Linked DNA regions of Drosophila melanogaster. The protein of the gene in region 4 interacts with the protein of the main gene of each other region in a pairwise test. Each region holds a gene or a part of one and is shown on either strand. Other genes may lie near its edges. The genes, in order: Polr1H, Tango11, Cpr50Ca and CG13287.

The links.
Region 1: the proteins of CG13287 (region 4) and Polr1H interact in a two-hybrid assay, tested with the Drosophila melanogaster proteins (one large-scale study listed by BioGRID).
Region 2: the proteins of CG13287 (region 4) and Tango11 interact in a two-hybrid assay, tested with the Drosophila melanogaster proteins (one large-scale study listed by BioGRID).
Region 3: the proteins of CG13287 (region 4) and Cpr50Ca interact in a two-hybrid assay, tested with the Drosophila melanogaster proteins (one large-scale study listed by BioGRID).

Annotation. Positions count from the first base shown.
Region 1 is NT_033777.3:21,776,670-21,779,660, reverse strand, and holds Polr1H (RNA polymerase I subunit H), read left to right. Parts: upstream 1-1,813; 5' UTR 1,814-1,894; coding exon 1,895-2,012; intron 2,013-2,063; coding exon 2,064-2,283; intron 2,284-2,347; coding exon 2,348-2,372; 3' UTR 2,373-2,447; downstream 2,448-2,991. Other genes in the region: tsl (torso-like), read left to right, coding at 1-109, 458-1,309; CG6800 (uncharacterized protein), read right to left, coding at 2,448-2,619, 2,672-2,822, 2,885-2,991.
Region 2 is NT_033778.4:21,716,249-21,721,583, reverse strand, and holds Tango11 (transport and golgi organization 11), read left to right. Parts: upstream 1-1,620; 5' UTR 1,621-1,729; intron 1,730-1,738; exon of another isoform or gene 1,739-1,900; 5' UTR 1,901-1,948; coding exon 1,949-2,503; intron 2,504-2,751; exon of another isoform or gene 2,752-2,849; coding exon of another isoform or gene 2,850-3,653; exon of another isoform or gene 3,654-3,825; coding exon of another isoform or gene 3,826-3,828; intron 3,829-3,887; coding exon 3,888-4,166; 3' UTR 4,167-4,804; downstream 4,805-5,335. Other genes in the region: LBR (lamin B receptor), read right to left, coding at 257-682; CG30398 (uncharacterized protein), read right to left, coding at 2,850-3,653. UniProt on the Drosophila melanogaster protein: May play a role in mitochondrial and peroxisomal fission.
Region 3 is NT_033778.4:13,768,221-13,772,957, forward strand, and holds the start of Cpr50Ca (cuticular protein 50Ca), read left to right. Parts: upstream 1-1,694; 5' UTR 1,695-1,753; intron 1,754-2,545; 5' UTR 2,546-2,754; coding exon 2,755-2,796; intron 2,797-4,737.
Region 4 is NT_037436.4:5,880,795-5,884,646, forward strand, and holds CG13287 (uncharacterized protein), read left to right. Parts: upstream 1-1,509; 5' UTR 1,510-1,612; coding exon 1,613-2,998; coding exon of another isoform or gene 2,999-3,025; 3' UTR 3,026-3,296; downstream 3,297-3,852.

The DNA.
Region 1 (2,991 bases), on a different chromosome or scaffold from region 4:
ATTCCTGCGCTATGGCTACCTGGGAATCTCCATGCGTGTGATACCGCTCAATGACAACTCGGAGCCGGATCGCTGGGTGTTTAAGGAGCCCACCAAAAACATCTATAGGGTAAGGGACTTAAGGCAGAGTTAAGCTTACATTTAATAAATTAAATGGCGTTGATGAACTCGGAATTGTTTGTATTAACCTTTAACCACAATCACCATAATTATTTGGAGTATAATCAAAATTTTAAAATAGGGTTTAAAGTTGTTATCACTTAAAACTATTTTTAGTTGTAATTATATTGTTCACTTCCGCCACGTTTGTCGTTAGAATGAGCGCTTATTATATTTGTTTGATCAGATTTAGGAAAACGATCATTATATACGATTATTCAAGTATGTCACTTGATATTTATTACCTGATAATTGAGCTGACTAGACAATTAGATAATTAATGATTTTTTTCTTTCAGAATCTGAGTGGCCTGGCGGAGAGTCATGAAGACACCACGCCCGGAATCTTTCATGGAGACTTTCACATGGAGTTCTGCGAGAATCGGAGGCAACTGTTCCAGGCCTACTTCCGTGACTTTTCCATTGAGCGAATGGACAAACCGTGGGAGGCATTTACTGGCGGATGGTTTCCGGATAATGCGGCCAAGAAGCTGGGCATCAATACATCTTTCATCCAAGGCGATTACTCGTATGTTTTGGTGAGGGTGGTGCGCTTCAGGGAAACGGGGCGTCTTAACGCTGAGATTCCGGTGCACCAACCCTTGGAGCCGGATGTGCGATCGAGAATGGATCAACTGCAAATCGGAAATATAACTTCCGCAGTGCGATTTATGGAAGATGTGGGCACCCACTACGTAAACTCATACACCACCGGCAATTCGCTGTATCAGGTGTTTGTGTACAGCAGGAAGAACTACAGCATGATCAAGGAGCGAATCAAGAGTAAAGGTCTGAACGGACTGTCCAAGTTGGATCTTTACAACTACTTTGCGCCCTGGTTTGCCGCCCATCTGGGCCAGATTCGATCGGCTAGTGCCAATGCTACAGTGGAAAGATGGGCGAGAAGGAAGCTGCAGTACGAGTACTATGTGGTCAAGTATGTGACCCTGCTGAAACTGCACGGTAATAGTACTCTACTGCGATCCCTGGACTCGCTGCTCGGCAACGATGCCATACTGCAGTTGGACCTCAAGTCGCTGAAGCCCATCTTCCGGGAGGAGCCGGAAAAGGAGAGCTGGTACCACGAGGTTCTCGACAACAATGTGAAGCTCTGGGAGCTTAACATGCCGCAGAGTCATCCCACCCGATAGCTGCATTTTAAATATATATATACTGTGCGATATGTGGCAGCCAAGGATCAATAGTTCCTAGATGCTTAGTTGTAGTTAGGAACCTCTAGTGCGTAGTTAATGTTCTGCCTGTGATAGTTTTAGGTAGTTTAATTGGAACACAGTACACATCCGACTTGCATTTCAGCTAACTAGACCGTAAGATCGCCTTATTGATGTAATAGTTTTGTAAACTTTAATACAAAGTAAAGATAAAAGTAAAAATCTTACTGTTTTCATAACTTGATATTGGCTATTAAAATCTAACTGTTTTCATTACGTAATATTGGCTATGAATATCAAATACTATTTTGAAAGTTTATTTTGAATAATTGATTTTGATTAAGAACCGGTAATCGAAACGGGTAAACGGCTCTACCCGTTTCATCAAGGCTTTCAACCAGACTTATTCTAGTTTTCCACCCTTACGTATTTAGTATATGAATCAAGTATATTTTTAATACCGTGTGGTATATTTCAAACGGTTCAGTTACGCTCATACTGAAATCCGAAATAGCACGTGCGGTTTTTGTATTTTGATTTTGATTTTGGGTGATATATACTGGCATGGATATTTTTTCCAATTGTCCGGGCTTTTGCCCCTCCTGCGGCTCCATTCTGCCCGAGCTTCAAGTCAAGGGCAATGTGATTTGCTACAACTGCAAGAAGGAGTTTCAGCCAGATGGTAAATCCAGAAATTACAACTTTGTTTAATTTATTTAACACTTAAAAATAGTTTACAGCGGCGAGAAGTCCGAGTTTACCATACACTTCAACACCTACGATCCCAGCAAGGTGTTCAACAGGACGAAAAGGGAGTCGGAATCGGACGCGGATGGCCCCGTTGTGGAGAGGAAGTGTCCCAAGTGCAACCACGACAAGATGTCCTATGCCACCCTGCAGCTTCGATCGGCGGACGAAGGCCAGACGGTGTTCTTTACCTGCCTTAAGTGCAAGTAGGTGTCCTGATAAACATATTCCTTCACTTCCACAACTAATCACACACATTCTACCTTGCAGATTCAAAGAATCCGAAAACTCTTAGTTGCTAGCAATGTCCGTGTAAATAGTCCTAGATTAATGAAAATAATCATGCTCGACGGCCTGAGAAATATAGAATTTACCAATTATAATACCTAACCGGTGTCAAACTTGAAGCAGAACCCACCTCGCTGGCCTTGAGTCGGTTTTTGGGATTGTAGACCACCAGATTCGAGACCAGATTGATTTCCACCGCATGTGTGCAGCTGGGAAACAAGTTGTCCCAGTGAATGCCCACGGAGTTGGGAAACCTACGTCAAGAATATTACGGATTAAGTAATCATAGACGGTAAGAATGCCTACCGTATCTTGCTGTAATCCGGCAGAGAAGTCAGCTCTGGCCACTGATTCAGACGTGGGCTGCCCAGAGTGCGAATGATGATGGCTAATTGCTCGATGTCGGTGGTTCCCGCAAACAGGGGCACTCCGCGTAGCATCTCCGCCACAACACAACCTGGATAGCAATAATGTCAGCCATAAGGATATATGTAAACCCATCAAAGAGTCATGGCTAACCTGCCGCCCACATATCCACTCCGGTTCCATACTTCTGGCTGCCAAATAGAATCTCTGGCGCTCGATACCACCGGGTTGAGACCTGAGGCGAATAAAGGCGCGACTCG
Region 2 (5,335 bases), on a different chromosome or scaffold from region 4:
GTGCTGCTTATCAGCTTCATAAAACACACAGAAACAGAAGCTCGAAATTTGTAATAAAGGTAGGACAGTTACAGTTAATTATGTAGTTTAATTGGTTGTAACGATCGAAATTAAATAGAACTAATATTTCGCTATGCTTTTATATTGAAAGCAATTGATTTCAAAATTCTAAACTGCTGATGGTTGGAATACTGATCAAATATAGCTAAGCACTTATCCACCGGCCAGCAAAACTGGTTTGTGCTGGAGAACTCACCTCGGAAACCTCTGGGATGGGTGTGCGTGCCTTGATGGCGGCCTTGATGGGCAGCGAGGAACCAGATCCCGATCCGGTCAGCGGACCCACCGACGACCTCGGCCGGCTGGAGCGACGGGTGCGCGGGCCAAGATCGGGCGAGGGCGGTGCGACGACCTTGTTGCGTGACGGGGAGGCACGTGTCCGGGTGGCGGGACCAGCGGTGGCGGTGGCGGTGGCGGTGGCACCCGCAGCTGTCACGGAGCCCGTACGTCGGGTCACCGGCAGGAGGCTGGGCTGCTTGGACTGGGCCAGAAGTGGACCGCTGGACACGTCTTCCGTGCGACGCGGGCGTCTCAGGCGTCGATCCATGGTGTATGAATTGCGGTCGAAAAAACGTGCTGCAAAATGGATATGATCAGTCGTTGTGCTCGGCGAGTGCTGCATGTTATTTATAGTTTACAAAATACACACAATCTATTAATGTACTTAAGTAACGCTGTGGTTTTCTCTAGTTTCTTTGCTTTCTTTATTTCTCTAATTTTCTGTATTTATTTGTGTTTGCGCGCCGAAAGGAAAAGCGACGTCGCTGCCGCAACTGTACATTCCGCAGGCAGCGACGCTGGCAGAACGCGCTCTCTCTCTTGCTCTCTTCCTCTTGGCTGGCAGTTTTTAAACGATGTTTAACTTAGCTTAAACAGCTTTTAACGCTTCACAACTTAGTAACTCACTTCTGATGGGATTTATTTGTAGTTTTTCACTTTATGGGGCTATTGAAACGCCGTAAATTCAGCATAAATCACTTGATAAAAAAGACGCGCGTCTAGTTGTCGGCGGATGAGAAAATTTTGTTGTAAAATGAGCGCGGCCCACTGCGTTGGTATTTTTCAGTGTTGGCTAACGCCGAACGGCGCCTAACAGCACGCAGCGTGTCGTTAACAGTGGTTTAGTGGGCACTTTAAGACAATTTAAAATGTATTCAAGGTTAATTATTTTAAAGTATTAAAAGTACTTGTACTTATTTTTACATTCCCTTAAACATTAATCGAACCATACCAATGCGCAAGTATTATAAATCGATAGAAAACTTTTTGGAGTATTTGATCTTTGCAAAGACTAACAGTACTCATTTTATTTACATATGTAGGTTATAAAGACCAAAGTTGTCGCTTAAATCGAGTTGTAAATTATTTGTTCAAGACAGAAGAATACCGCAAACTTTTCAAGAAACAAAAACATATTAATAAAATGAATCAAAACAACTGAAATAACTTCTTAAATACCTAGTTTTCTACTGATATTGAGGTAGATAATTAATTTGGCTAAAAAGGAGCTAGAGTGCCGGATCTGTAGAGTGGAAGTAGAGTGACTGTCATTCCTGGTATTATTTAGCACATTCTATATCAATCTCCTCACACACATAACAAAAGGCAGGAGAAAAATTGTAAATTATTACGGATTTCTCGGACATTTTTCTGTCATTTCCCGAGCAATGTAAGTAGAAAGCATTCGAAAAACCCAATACGCAACAAACACACGCACACAAGCCGGACGAAAATGTTGCGCTTGCCAAATTCTGGTTATTAATTTGTTATGAAAACGTCTCTCTCACGGCCGCCTTCTACCTAAAAAAAAAAAATTGGACAAACAACGAAAAACCAAAAGCAAGTGAGGCCCATTGGATCAGTTGAAAGGATTCCCCAGGACATCGCCATGGTGACCCCGCAATCGCCGACGCCCATGTTCAATGGATTGGACGATGATCTCTACAGCGACGCCAAATATGCCCACGAGATTAACGACAAGATGCGGGTTCCCAAAAGAATAAAGGCCACCGGGGAGTATTCCAACGAGGATCTGCTGCTGTCCAACCAGAACGGGATGATCAGCTCCTGGAACTATCACGACAAGATCGACATGAATGTACCGGATCGAATTGTGGTCCTGGGCCACAATCAGCATCTGGAGACGCGATCTGCTCCGCGGGAAATCCAGCTGGAGAACTCCATTCTGCCCAAGAACCCATCGGTCGGATTGGTGCGCGTCCAGACGCCACCGCGCATTATCACCCTCACCGATCAACACTTTCCCTCGGCCTCCGAGGAGAGCTCGCCCATCCGGGCCAATGGTCATCATTTGTATGGTAATGATCTCGACGAGGACGCCGACGATGAGGAGGTCCATGCCACCCAATATGTGCGTGCCAATGGAGTCGCCCGTATGGGATTTCAAGGCAATGACACCAATTCCGTTGAATCGGACTCGCAGGTGAGTAAAATATGCCATACAAGCAACAATTTTCCTTTAGTTTTTCAATTCAATTGCAAGTGCTTGTAAATTAAATCGATGGGCAGAATGAGCAACTCTGTGATTTCTGTTAAAGAGCACTTCATTTGATGGAAGTCTAGACCCTAGCGATCCACACATGACGCAATAAAACAACCAAAATTGTTAATAGATAATAGATAGATAGCGATCACACTGCGCTTGCCACCCATTCAGTTTGCAAAGAGATTACCATGCCTGCTGGTTTTTATTGAATTCCTAATACGGCTTTGATAAGACGGCTGACCCAATTTCCATCGACTGTGTGGAAACACACTCTCACTTTTTGTTAATCGCTGGAGTAGCCGTGTGCCTCCGGTCGATCCTCGCCCTCCTGTGTATCCTTAAGGCGCCTCGCAAAAGGACGACACTTCCAGATGTCCACCTCGGTGGCCAGGCACTTGCGAAAATCGAAATCGCACAGACCCAAACTGTACGAACCCTCCATGGGCTCGAAGTAGTGAAGGCCACGGCCAATCTTAATGACCACTCCCGAGCTAAGAACGATCTTGCGATCGTGCAAACTGTCGTCCATCTGGAAATTCATCTGGATGTTGCCACCGGCCAGATCGCTCTGCATTTGCTGCAGCATCTGCAACTGATTCTTGGGCGCCGTCGCATCTGGGCGCGTAGTGAGGCGAATATACTTTAGATAGCGACAGTTCTTGACCAGCACCTCGAAAAAGTTAAGCAAATTCCTAAAGTGTGGTGGCTCCGTGAGGTGTGGCTCGTTGAGATGGGCCTCCCGAACCGCATCGTCCAAATACGGACCAAACAGCCGCTGGTAGCTTCTGCCCCTGGCACCCTGCTCGATGGTGATGTGATCCAGCATACGGCTGGTGTGCAAGTGACCCTTGACCTGATCCCTCAGCTGTTTGGCCCGCGCCTCGTACATCTTCAAATACTTCCCACACAGCTGGCGGCGACTCGGCTCCGCATCGGCCATCTGGGACAATTTGAAGATGCTCTCCTCGTAGAGTAGTATCGCCTCCATAATGTGACCCGTCTGCTCGCATTTCAGCGCGCTGATTATCGCCTCCAGTTTCGGCAGCTCGCCATCATCCACTTCTGCTACGTTGGGACTGGTTGTCATTGCTGGGATCGAAAGAAATTGGTTGGCTATACAGAAAATTTCGAGTTGGGCGTTTTTTTTTTTTTCGAATGTTTATTGCTTATATTGACACCGGAAATATTTGGGGGAGCTCTGAAAAATGACTCTTGCTTCACATTGATAACAGAAAACTTTCACAAAGCAAACACTTAACATGGTACACACATCTAAATCCTATTTGGCGCAACTTATCTTTGACTACCTTATGTGTTCCAGTTGACCACAGGCAGTGCCAGCAAGCGCTCGCAGCTGAATCAACAGCAGCACAACAACCTGGATGCCTCAATGCTGGCGCACCGAGAGGGCACGCCCATGGGCGAGCTGACGCCCCACGAGGAGATCCTGTATCTGAGACGCCAGCTGGCCAAGCTGAATCGCCGGGTGCTGAACATCGAGATCAACAATGAACAGCGCACGCAGCGGGAGAAGATCGTCTACTGTCTGGGCCTGGCCTACTTCGTTCTCAAGACAATATTCTGGCTGAATCGCAACTAGACGCAATGTAGAGCCCACTATGATGGTTAGCGATCTGCGCTGGGTGCCAAGACAACCACCTTGCTATGGACACCCTTTTTGGAACAGCTTCTTTCGTTTCTTGACTTTTGTGTTTCTTTTGTGGAAAGGCTCTGAGAGAGACTTTGTTTTTTGTTTGCCATAATTTTGTAGACTAAGCTCCGTAATAAATAAGCGCAACATCGTTCTGTTTTGTACACCGTGGAAAACGAAAAAAACAAAGGCCCCCATACTTAATTTGTAAGATCTGGCACTTAAGGAGCGTGTATCTAAATCTAAGCTTTAATCTCTACGTGTTTCATCTGAGCAGCCCCCAACACGAATCCGAATCATCACAGCAGCATTGCATTGAAAAGATATTGTTTAAAAGGGTTGTTTATATTTTAGATCTGTTAACATTTGATAATCCCAAAGTGAAAACAAGAACTTTAATGGTATTTGTATGCGAAATCCCATACGATAAATAGTTAAATATATACATAAATATAATATTATACACTAAATCCCACAGAAATCATTGCATTGATTTTTGCATAACTAGCGGAAACGAAGGAAATCCATTTAGAGTGTAGCATGAATTCATAACGATATTTAAAATAAAACGTTTAAAGTACCAAAACAAACCATATGCTTCGTTAATTTTCTACCAGGAAATAAGTAGATTTCGGTTTTCAACGCATTTAAAAAATGTATTTATTTTAATTTGTTGGTTTTCTCTTTAAATAGTACGTATAGTAATCAATTAAAACTACCGATTAAATGCAATTACATCTGCTTGTCTCATCTAACTTCCGACTTCCTCTTCTGCTATACATCTTTAGCTAACAAGACGTTAAACATTAAGTTTAATGCAAAATGACGAAAAGACCTGAGCGAAATTTCGTTCGATTCATTTGCGGTGTGTGTATTGTTTTTCGTGTATTTTGTCTGTGAAGTGGATTGTTTCTTTCCCTTTTGCCACCCGATCTTCGATCAATCGCTATCATCCAACTACTTAGAGAACAAGATGCAATTGTTTGTATCTTTTTATTTATAATGGAATTATCGTTTACTTTACACAAATAATATGCAAGGGGACTACTTTTCTCTTTCATTTTCCGAACGACTCGCCTTTCCAGGCGAAACGCCGCAGGATCGAAAAAAAAAACACC
Region 3 (4,737 bases), on a different chromosome or scaffold from region 4:
ACGATGACTGCATCCGCAATGCAACTTTCTGTGTGAGATTTCCGCCTATTGCAGCTGCAACTGGCGACGCATCTGGTGGCCACATGGGGGTTTCCGGCCGGAGGGAGCGGCTCCTCCAACTTCTGGCGCATCTTCGGTGTCTGAATTTATTACGAGATTGCAAATCTCCACCGCGATTACAGCAATTATGTGGCTTTCGGTAGGAGGTTGGCACATTGCCCGAGGAACGTGCCCAGAGGTGTGGAATTAAGACTCTCGGCGGAAGGGGTAAAGAAAGTGATGTCGAAAGCTCTGGTCATGAAAAAGAAACGATTTTATAAAATTGATAAAAATTATATGTATTCATTAGTAAGCTGGGAATATTACCCCCCCCCCCCCCTTGCTTAAATATTAAGTATACGCCCCTGGTCGCTTACATGGCTCTCCTCTAATAACTCAATTTCAACACCAGCAAAAACAAATGTGAAAGTGCCAAAAGCCGCCTCCCCCCCTCTCTCTCTCACTCTCTTTCCCGTGGTAACCACCAATCATAGCCAAAAATCCCCAATCAGCTCAGCATCTGGCCCAGGTTTCGATGCACTCGAACAGATAGTCCGACCTCGCCACTCTAAGCCGCTTTAAAGTCCCACCATGGGCTGCAATAAAATAATATAAAATGAAATAAAGATAATTTGTCAGCTACTTCATTTGCGGCAGCGCGTGCGTGACTCGCGGTTGCCTGTTGCATAATATCTGCAGTTGAACTTTCCCAGGGGTTAGCACTCTCTTACCCACCAGTCACCACATCACACCAACCAAGGGGTATAAGTTCTATAAATCAAATATAAATATCAATATCAAACTTATAAATATATAAGTTCCTATAAATCACATAATCAGGCTGGGCCAAGCCTTATAGGAAATGCGTGGCAGTGCATTTCACTTGTTGCCATTAATAAATTAATTATACAACCATGACGGCACTGAGCTCAGTTTTATCCCCAGACGCACGCACTCTAAGCCCTCGTAAAAAATAAAGAAAAATGCACACAGATGGTAGGAAAACTTGTACATTTCGTTGTCATCAGCACAGCAACAGCGCATATTGTGCAAATGTTGATGGTCAAAAGTTGGCTAACGCCTTGGCCAAAGCCATGGCCAAAAAAGCAGCTCGAAATGCAGCCAGCTAAAAGACAAATATCAAGTGAGTGGTGAGGTTTTCAATTTTCAAAAGTCGAAAAAGAAATGCTCTGTTTGAAGAATATATATATCAAATATAAAGACAACTTTAATAAACTCTTAATCATTGGAATTTATAAAAAATGTAACAATTAATATAGGTAAAATCATTTTTGGCATCGTAGCACCTGTCTAATTTCCATTTATCCCCACAGATTTGGAATGCAAATGAATTTCCCCGAATAAATTGCAAATTCGACTTCCTTCTGAGCGTTGCAAATTTAATCAGCAGCTTATTATGCCCCACACATAAAAAAATAAAATTCAAAAAAAAAAGAAGGAGGAGAAAAAATATGGAAAATGCAACAGCAATACGCCAGACATGGCCGAGTCTTTTCGGCAAAGGCAAAGGAATGGAAATGGAAAATGGGAAAAGCGAGGCAGCGAAAAGCGAGCCAACAACAAACCGGCTGTCTCCGTGAAAACTGCGCGGCCCCGAACACACACAAAACTCAAGTGGCGCGAAAATTCGAGGCACAGTTGCAACAGCAGCGCGCAAGCGTGCGGTTTTCCTCCACAGTTTTTCCAGCCAAAAGTAAACAAGGCAAAGCGAAACGAAACGAAACGAAAACTCAAATTAAAAGTCGCATTAAATAAATGAGAAACGAACGAGGACTGCGACGAGCAAGTTTAAACAAAGCTCAAAGACAAAGTTGAATGAATATAGTCAAAGTTTGCTTTTCTCCGCAAAGGATATGAGAAAATCATTTTGTAAAAAAAAAAAAAATATAAAGAGCTTGCATTACATTTAACCAAAGTGCTGGCTAACAAGGATATAATATACCTTAAAATAAATTAAATCAAAAAAATATAAACGCATCAAGTTAAACGTCGAGCAAATTAATGAATATTTTACTGAATGACAAAAGTGAAACTTATAAGTGAAACATCTAAGGACGAATAACGAAAACGATTAGTTAGATAGTTAAATTTGTTAAATTAGATTTTATGGTCTTGTTTTATCTCAAAAATCTCTTAGTTACTAATGAAAAAGATTTTGGTAAAGAATATAAGATCAGAAATAATTCTCATTAAACATAATTCATTCATTTGTCATTCATTTGATTTTCTAAGAACAGGAATTTTTGAAATCGCAGGATACTATTTTTCTGCCTTCATAGTTTTAAAAAGTACTCATTTAACACAGCCTTTGCAGATGTGTCATCTGTTAAAGTACCATATAATGATTTTTGTTTTACTAATTTGTTAATTATGATGTTTCATAATTATGGGGAAATGTTTAAAACAGTTAATATGAGAATTTGAAAAGCACTTTTCGCAATTAGCTGCTGTGATAGTTAACCAAACTGAACGAATACTTTTCCAGGTCCGACAAACAAACAATAAGGTTCAACGCTGAACAAACTCATTTACAATTTGTATTTAAAATACCAAGACGGCGAAAAACAGCGTGGGAGAATAACAGAAATTTCAACAACAATTACAAATTGAGCTGCCACTTTTGTGGAAACGCGAAAAGTGCAACGTGCAACTTGACGCCTCATTTGCCCGAACTTCCGCCGACATCCAAGGAAAATGGAAATGGCTATCTGCGGCGGTGGCATCCCCACCTTAATGGTAAGTACATGGGGTCGGTTCGTTTCGGGTCGGGTTCATCATTCTGAAATTTTAATATAAATAACCGACAACTGCAAGGGCCATCGAGGCGTGAAAACAACAAGCGCCAGTGGAGAGACTTCGAGCGAAATTTCTGGGCGTGGGCCTGGGAAAAGTGTCGGCCTTCGATGCAGCGATTTTCATTTTCTGGCCAGGAAATGGACGCGGCCAGTCACTGCATATGGCGGGCTTCTTCTCATTTTCCTGGCGCACGCACATTTCGCAAGCAATTTATTTTCATTGCACTTGAACTTCAATTAGCCCGGAAACCAGCGAATACTGGCCAGACTTCGTTTAATTACCAGGCATTAAAATCATAAAGCGTATTCCAAAGTATCTTTGCTCAAAAATTCGTTATGCAACTGGCATTGATTGTTTGTGCTTTTTGGCCAAAACGCTCTCCATTTTATGACCCCGGTCTTTATGAAGGCCCGCTGTGGTTATCTAACCGAATCGACATTGGAATCCATATCCAACTGCCGGGACGAAAGGAAAATGCACCAGCAGCATTTGCAATCGAAACTGGAAATTTGCAATTTAAGTGGATGGAAAAAAAAAAAAAAAAGTTTGCGACCATTGCTGGCATTTCTTTTCAGCCAAGTTTCCTTGTGGCCCAGGAAGCACTCGTACCCCCAGCACTTTCTAGACCCGTAAAGTCTTTTATGTGCATTGAACTTGACTTTGCCGCCGGTTTTTGGCCAGGGCAAAAAAGACCAAACTGGTTCTAACTGCCACGGCCACTGCAGTTGGTAACTACCCACGTTGCACCACCCACATCTCACTGCCACATTAACAATTAGCCCAAGCTGTGCCTTTTGCCTGCCTGCTACCATTTCTTCTGCTGTCTCGACTCGCTCTCCGTCTTGGTCTTGCTCTTGGTCTGGAACTTAGTCTTGGCCCTGGGTCTTGGCCCACTCCACTCCACACCATACCACTCGTCTGGGTGGCACGTTTTTCCGGCTTGTTGCATACAACAAGAGACGATGCCGTAAGCGCATATTGCAGCCAACAATTAAACAAACTTGTGGCCAAACAGCAATTACAGAAACCATTTAATGAAGCAACCTGCTCGACATGAAAGAAAGCGAACGAGAACAATAAAGTCCAGAGGGAATGTGTTTGTATTGATTGGGTTAAAGACATGGAACTTTAGAGAAAAAATTATAAATAAATAAAAACATACACGAATCCAAAACTTAATCAAATCAAACAAAAGATAGTGATTTAGTTTATATTAACCCAAAACGAATTTCCACAAAATAAATGATTTTTCTAAAACTAATTGAATGCTGATACAAAAAACACCTTCTGTTTGCCCACTGAGATGTTGATTCCCTTGTAACTAAGAAGCCAGAAGATGATCAAAACTAATTGAATTGCTTTTACAAGTTTATCACCTCCATGCCATGCTGACTTTTATTATTGGTTATTTGTCTTGAAAAAATAAACCGAGTACAATAAAAGCCAGTTCAGCACTTTTAAACTGCCAGTACAATAAATACAACTTGTAAACAGCTGTAAAACTCGAAAGCCAAATGGTAAAAACGTAATTTAATCAAACTTTAGCTCTCGCAGCTCTCGCTGCAAATATTACAGTTTCAATTTCCCAAATAATGTCAAAACAAAAGAAAACTTTTAAAACGCCATGCAGATAGTAGTATTAGAAGTAGGAGTAGAAGTTGAAGTAGTAGTTTCGCTCCTTTTGCCTCTCTTAGCGGATCGTAAAGGAATTGTTAACTAGTTTTCGCAGCACTTCTAATGCCATAAAATCCGACTGAGCAAACTGAAACGAACGCAAATAGCAACAATTTTTATCGCTTCTTTGCATTGAGTTTTCAAACGAATCTAGCGCGTGTCCCATCTGAAATGAAAAGACACTTTTTCCGGGCGAAAAAAAAAATA
Region 4 (3,852 bases):
TAATTAAAAATGCAACTCATATGGCAAGTGGAACAATTAGCACCTGAAAATATGCAAACATTAAATTGCCGCTGCTGCAGCCACATGGCTGCAAGCAAAAAGTGCAACAAAAGAGTCGAAAATTTAAATAAAATATACATACACCCCATAGCTGCAAACCCTGTTCACGACTGACCATAACAGACACATATTTTGTCCTGGCAATGGCCACATCCTTGCATCCGGTCTGCCAGGATCTAGGGTCTAGCCGGAAAAAAGGGAAATAAACGGGGGATCAGAACGAGACGGAAAACGAACGGAAGGCATTGCACAATTTGCTATTGTTGCATGTGCATATTTACTGGGCACTTGCCACTTTTTCCACATAGCGCTAACTTAACTGACAAATAAATATTTCGGTATGTTGAAAGATTTCGACGCTCAACAGTCGCCTACAAAACGGGGGAACCCCAATTCCAGAGCGTGTGTGTGTGTGTGTGTGTGTGTAGTTGGCAATATGTAAAAGCTACGCGCAGCATATACTCAAAATCCAAGCCAGCAGCAACAAACGCAACAAATACACCAGCACAAAACATGGCCACATATTCACACAATCTCGCTGGAACTGCTAAAAAATCGACAAAAACAACCTGTTCGGAAACACTTGCAACAAGGACATCACCACCGACAGAGACGGGCATAGAGCCAGACAGAGAGGGCAGGTCCTGCCATATTTTCGGGGTGGGTGTGAGAGGCAAATCGAGAGAGAGAGCAAGCGAGAGAGCGGCCAGGATCAAGCACCGCCTCCTTGCGAAAAGAGATGAGTGCACAGTGGGCGGAACAGGGAAAATAATTTAGTAAAATATAATGTTTTGGTAAAAATCTAAATGGAAACCATGCGAAAAAGTTTTATTTATTGTAAAATATTTGAAAACATTTACCTAATGAAGTTTAAGCGCAACTACTTCAAGATATTCAACTCTTTTGAATGAATAAGAGTAACTTCTCATATAGATGACCCTAGTTTCAAATCCTTCTAAGTTTAATCAATTAAGTTTTTTAAATAATATCACACAACTTTAACAACAACATTGCCCATTGTACCAATGCATCACATACAGCACAACAAGGTTTTCGAACAAGCCAACCTGTCCGTGAATGCTAGCCAACCAGGAGTCGTCCTGGCTAGGACTCGCACAATAAAACCACAGAATATGTTCGCCAACTGGCAAAGCAGATGGAACGCTGGAGAGACGGAGAGTGGGCCAAAGAAAGAGAGAGAAGACCGCTGGAGAAAGAGAGGACAAGCGGGAGTGAAAGAGCAAGAGCAGGAACATAAGGGTGGTGCTCTCTGCAGGACCTGAATCTGAACAGACTCCGAGCAGAATCAGGACAGATGGGCCAAGTGCCGCGAGTGCGGAGAGTTGCTTTTTCCCAATTGAATGGGACAATATGAGAATACGAGAATTCCAACTGGACGCGGTGGTTGTGGCAGCGGGTACTTAAAGAGGAACAGATTGCGGGCGGCCAGCAGTCGAAACTGGAATTTCGAATCGCAAGGAACTGTATAGAACCAAAGACCCAAAGTCCCTACCAGAGCCAAGTGAAAGTCGAAAAGTGTATTGAAGTGAAAATGAATCTGCTCATGGATAGCATGCCGTCGCACGCGAATCCTGGCCAGCGTCGCCCAACGCCGCCTCAGCACGCCGAGCTTAGGATCTCCACATCACCGCAACAGTCACCGCAGCAAAATCAAACCACTAATCACAATAACAACAATGAGACACCCACATCGCCACCGGGTGGAAAGACCACTCTTAAACGCGCCTTCGATGTGGCCTTCCTCATGATGCCCGATGAACGGATTAAGCAAAAGCAGGCCGAGAAGCAGGCTCGCCTTCAAGAGGCACTGCACCATCATCACCACCAACAGCAGCAGCAGCAGATGAGCCACTATCCCACAGATTTGTCTCCTCGAGGAACCTCCTCGCAACCACCTTCGCCGGCGGCACTGGAGTACATTAGTCTGTTGGAGGCACGCCAGCGGTATCCACAGATCAGCATCCGTTCGCCGCGGGTTTATGATGATCCCAGTGTGGTCATACCCCTGGTGGATTCTCCAGAGGCACCATCAACTTCTTCACCACCACCGCCCATGCGCAGCGCTTTTACCAAAGTAGCCTCCTCGTCGCTGTCCACTTCATCATCCTCACCATCGACCACTTCACGTTTGGAATCACCCGTGGATGCGGGAGCTCCGCCCTTGAGTCCCGATCAGCTAAGCTGTCACTCGATAAGTCCACCATTGGTGACACCTCCACCAAGAACCAATAGCGGTGGCCAGAATCCAAATCCCCTGCCAGCAAATCCCATAGTCTACCACAACTTCCGACCGGAGTATCAGTTCAACGGAGCCTTCCAGGCGGTGAATCCCATGCAGGCTCTGCAGGCACAGCAGCGCCTTAAGCAGCAGTTGTTGTACACCCGTCCACCAGGACCTGGAAATCCCAATGGAGGAGGACCTACTATGCAGGCAAACTCACCACCGGGTCCACCGTCGGAGTTCCTGCATGCCTATCCCGGATTTGCTCCGCCACCACATCCATTCGCGGTATCCCAACCTCTCCAGAATCCCGCTGCAGCAGCCATTCTCTCCACGTTGATTCCACCCACATTGGCATCCACTTTTACACTGACCGCTCAGAATGTGTGCGCCAAGTGCAACATAAGTTTCCGGATGACCAGTGATCTGGTGTATCACATGCGATCCCATCACAAAAGCGAAGTGGCCTGCGATCCAAATCGACGGAAGCGGGAGGAGAAACTCCGATGTCCCGTCTGCCAGGAGACTTTCAGGGAGCGACACCATCTAACGCGACACATGACCGCCCACCAGGACAAGGCCAGTGATCACCAGCCGCAGCTGGAGGACTCATCCTCATCTGCCGGTGACAACGAGATCATCAACGTGGTCGGCGGCACACCGCCAGGTCGCCGAATGGGTGGTATGCCCAAATGATCGAAGCATTTCTTCGGATATTTTTAAGTCATCAAGTCAACTAACTCCCCAAAAACAAAACCCGTTGCCCATTTTCGATTGTGATATTAACTTTAGTTTCCCCCACGCTCCGATTTAATTTCCCCTTAGCTTTAAATGTAGTGCAATTTGTATCTTAAATATGTAACTGGATCTCCCTGTATCTCAATTAATTATCTTTCTTATCGAAGGACCCGAAAGGATCTTCAGTTTCATCATTGTAAGATATTATGGCTAAGTTGCAAATTCAATGTGTGGCTGAATGTTTCAATAAAAATCTAATTGTTATGCCAATTCAATAGTAATCACGTTTTATTAATAAAATTTGGGTTAATGGGAAATTTTATCTTGTAGTAGATCTGAAGTATTCTAAAATCATGTTATGAAAATGAGCTTGAGGATTATTGCAATCAAATATTTTTGAAAAGCTTAAACAAAAGCCAATGAGTTGTCTATGCTTTCGAAATAATGTGATTAAGCTTATATAGACGCCACCTTAATAAGAAATCCCAAAAGACAACCGAGCTTAAAATTCAATTAATTTTTGAAAAAAAGAATCCCAAACCAGGGATTCTAGAAGACGAAGATATCTTGATTTGGCAGCATATGGAGTTCTTTGAATTCCTGGCCGGACAACCCATTATTTCGATTGTGAGGTAGACCGAAAACATAGGCTCCCAGGACCAGAAAAAGCACCAGATTTTCGCGGGTACCAAAAGTAACATACGCCATGTTAGTAGAGCGAAGAATATGTTCAACTTATTAGCGCAGTGAGGCAGTGAATTCTGTAGTTGCGATTCAGCAGTATTCATTTTGGCCGCATGCAGCAATTAGAT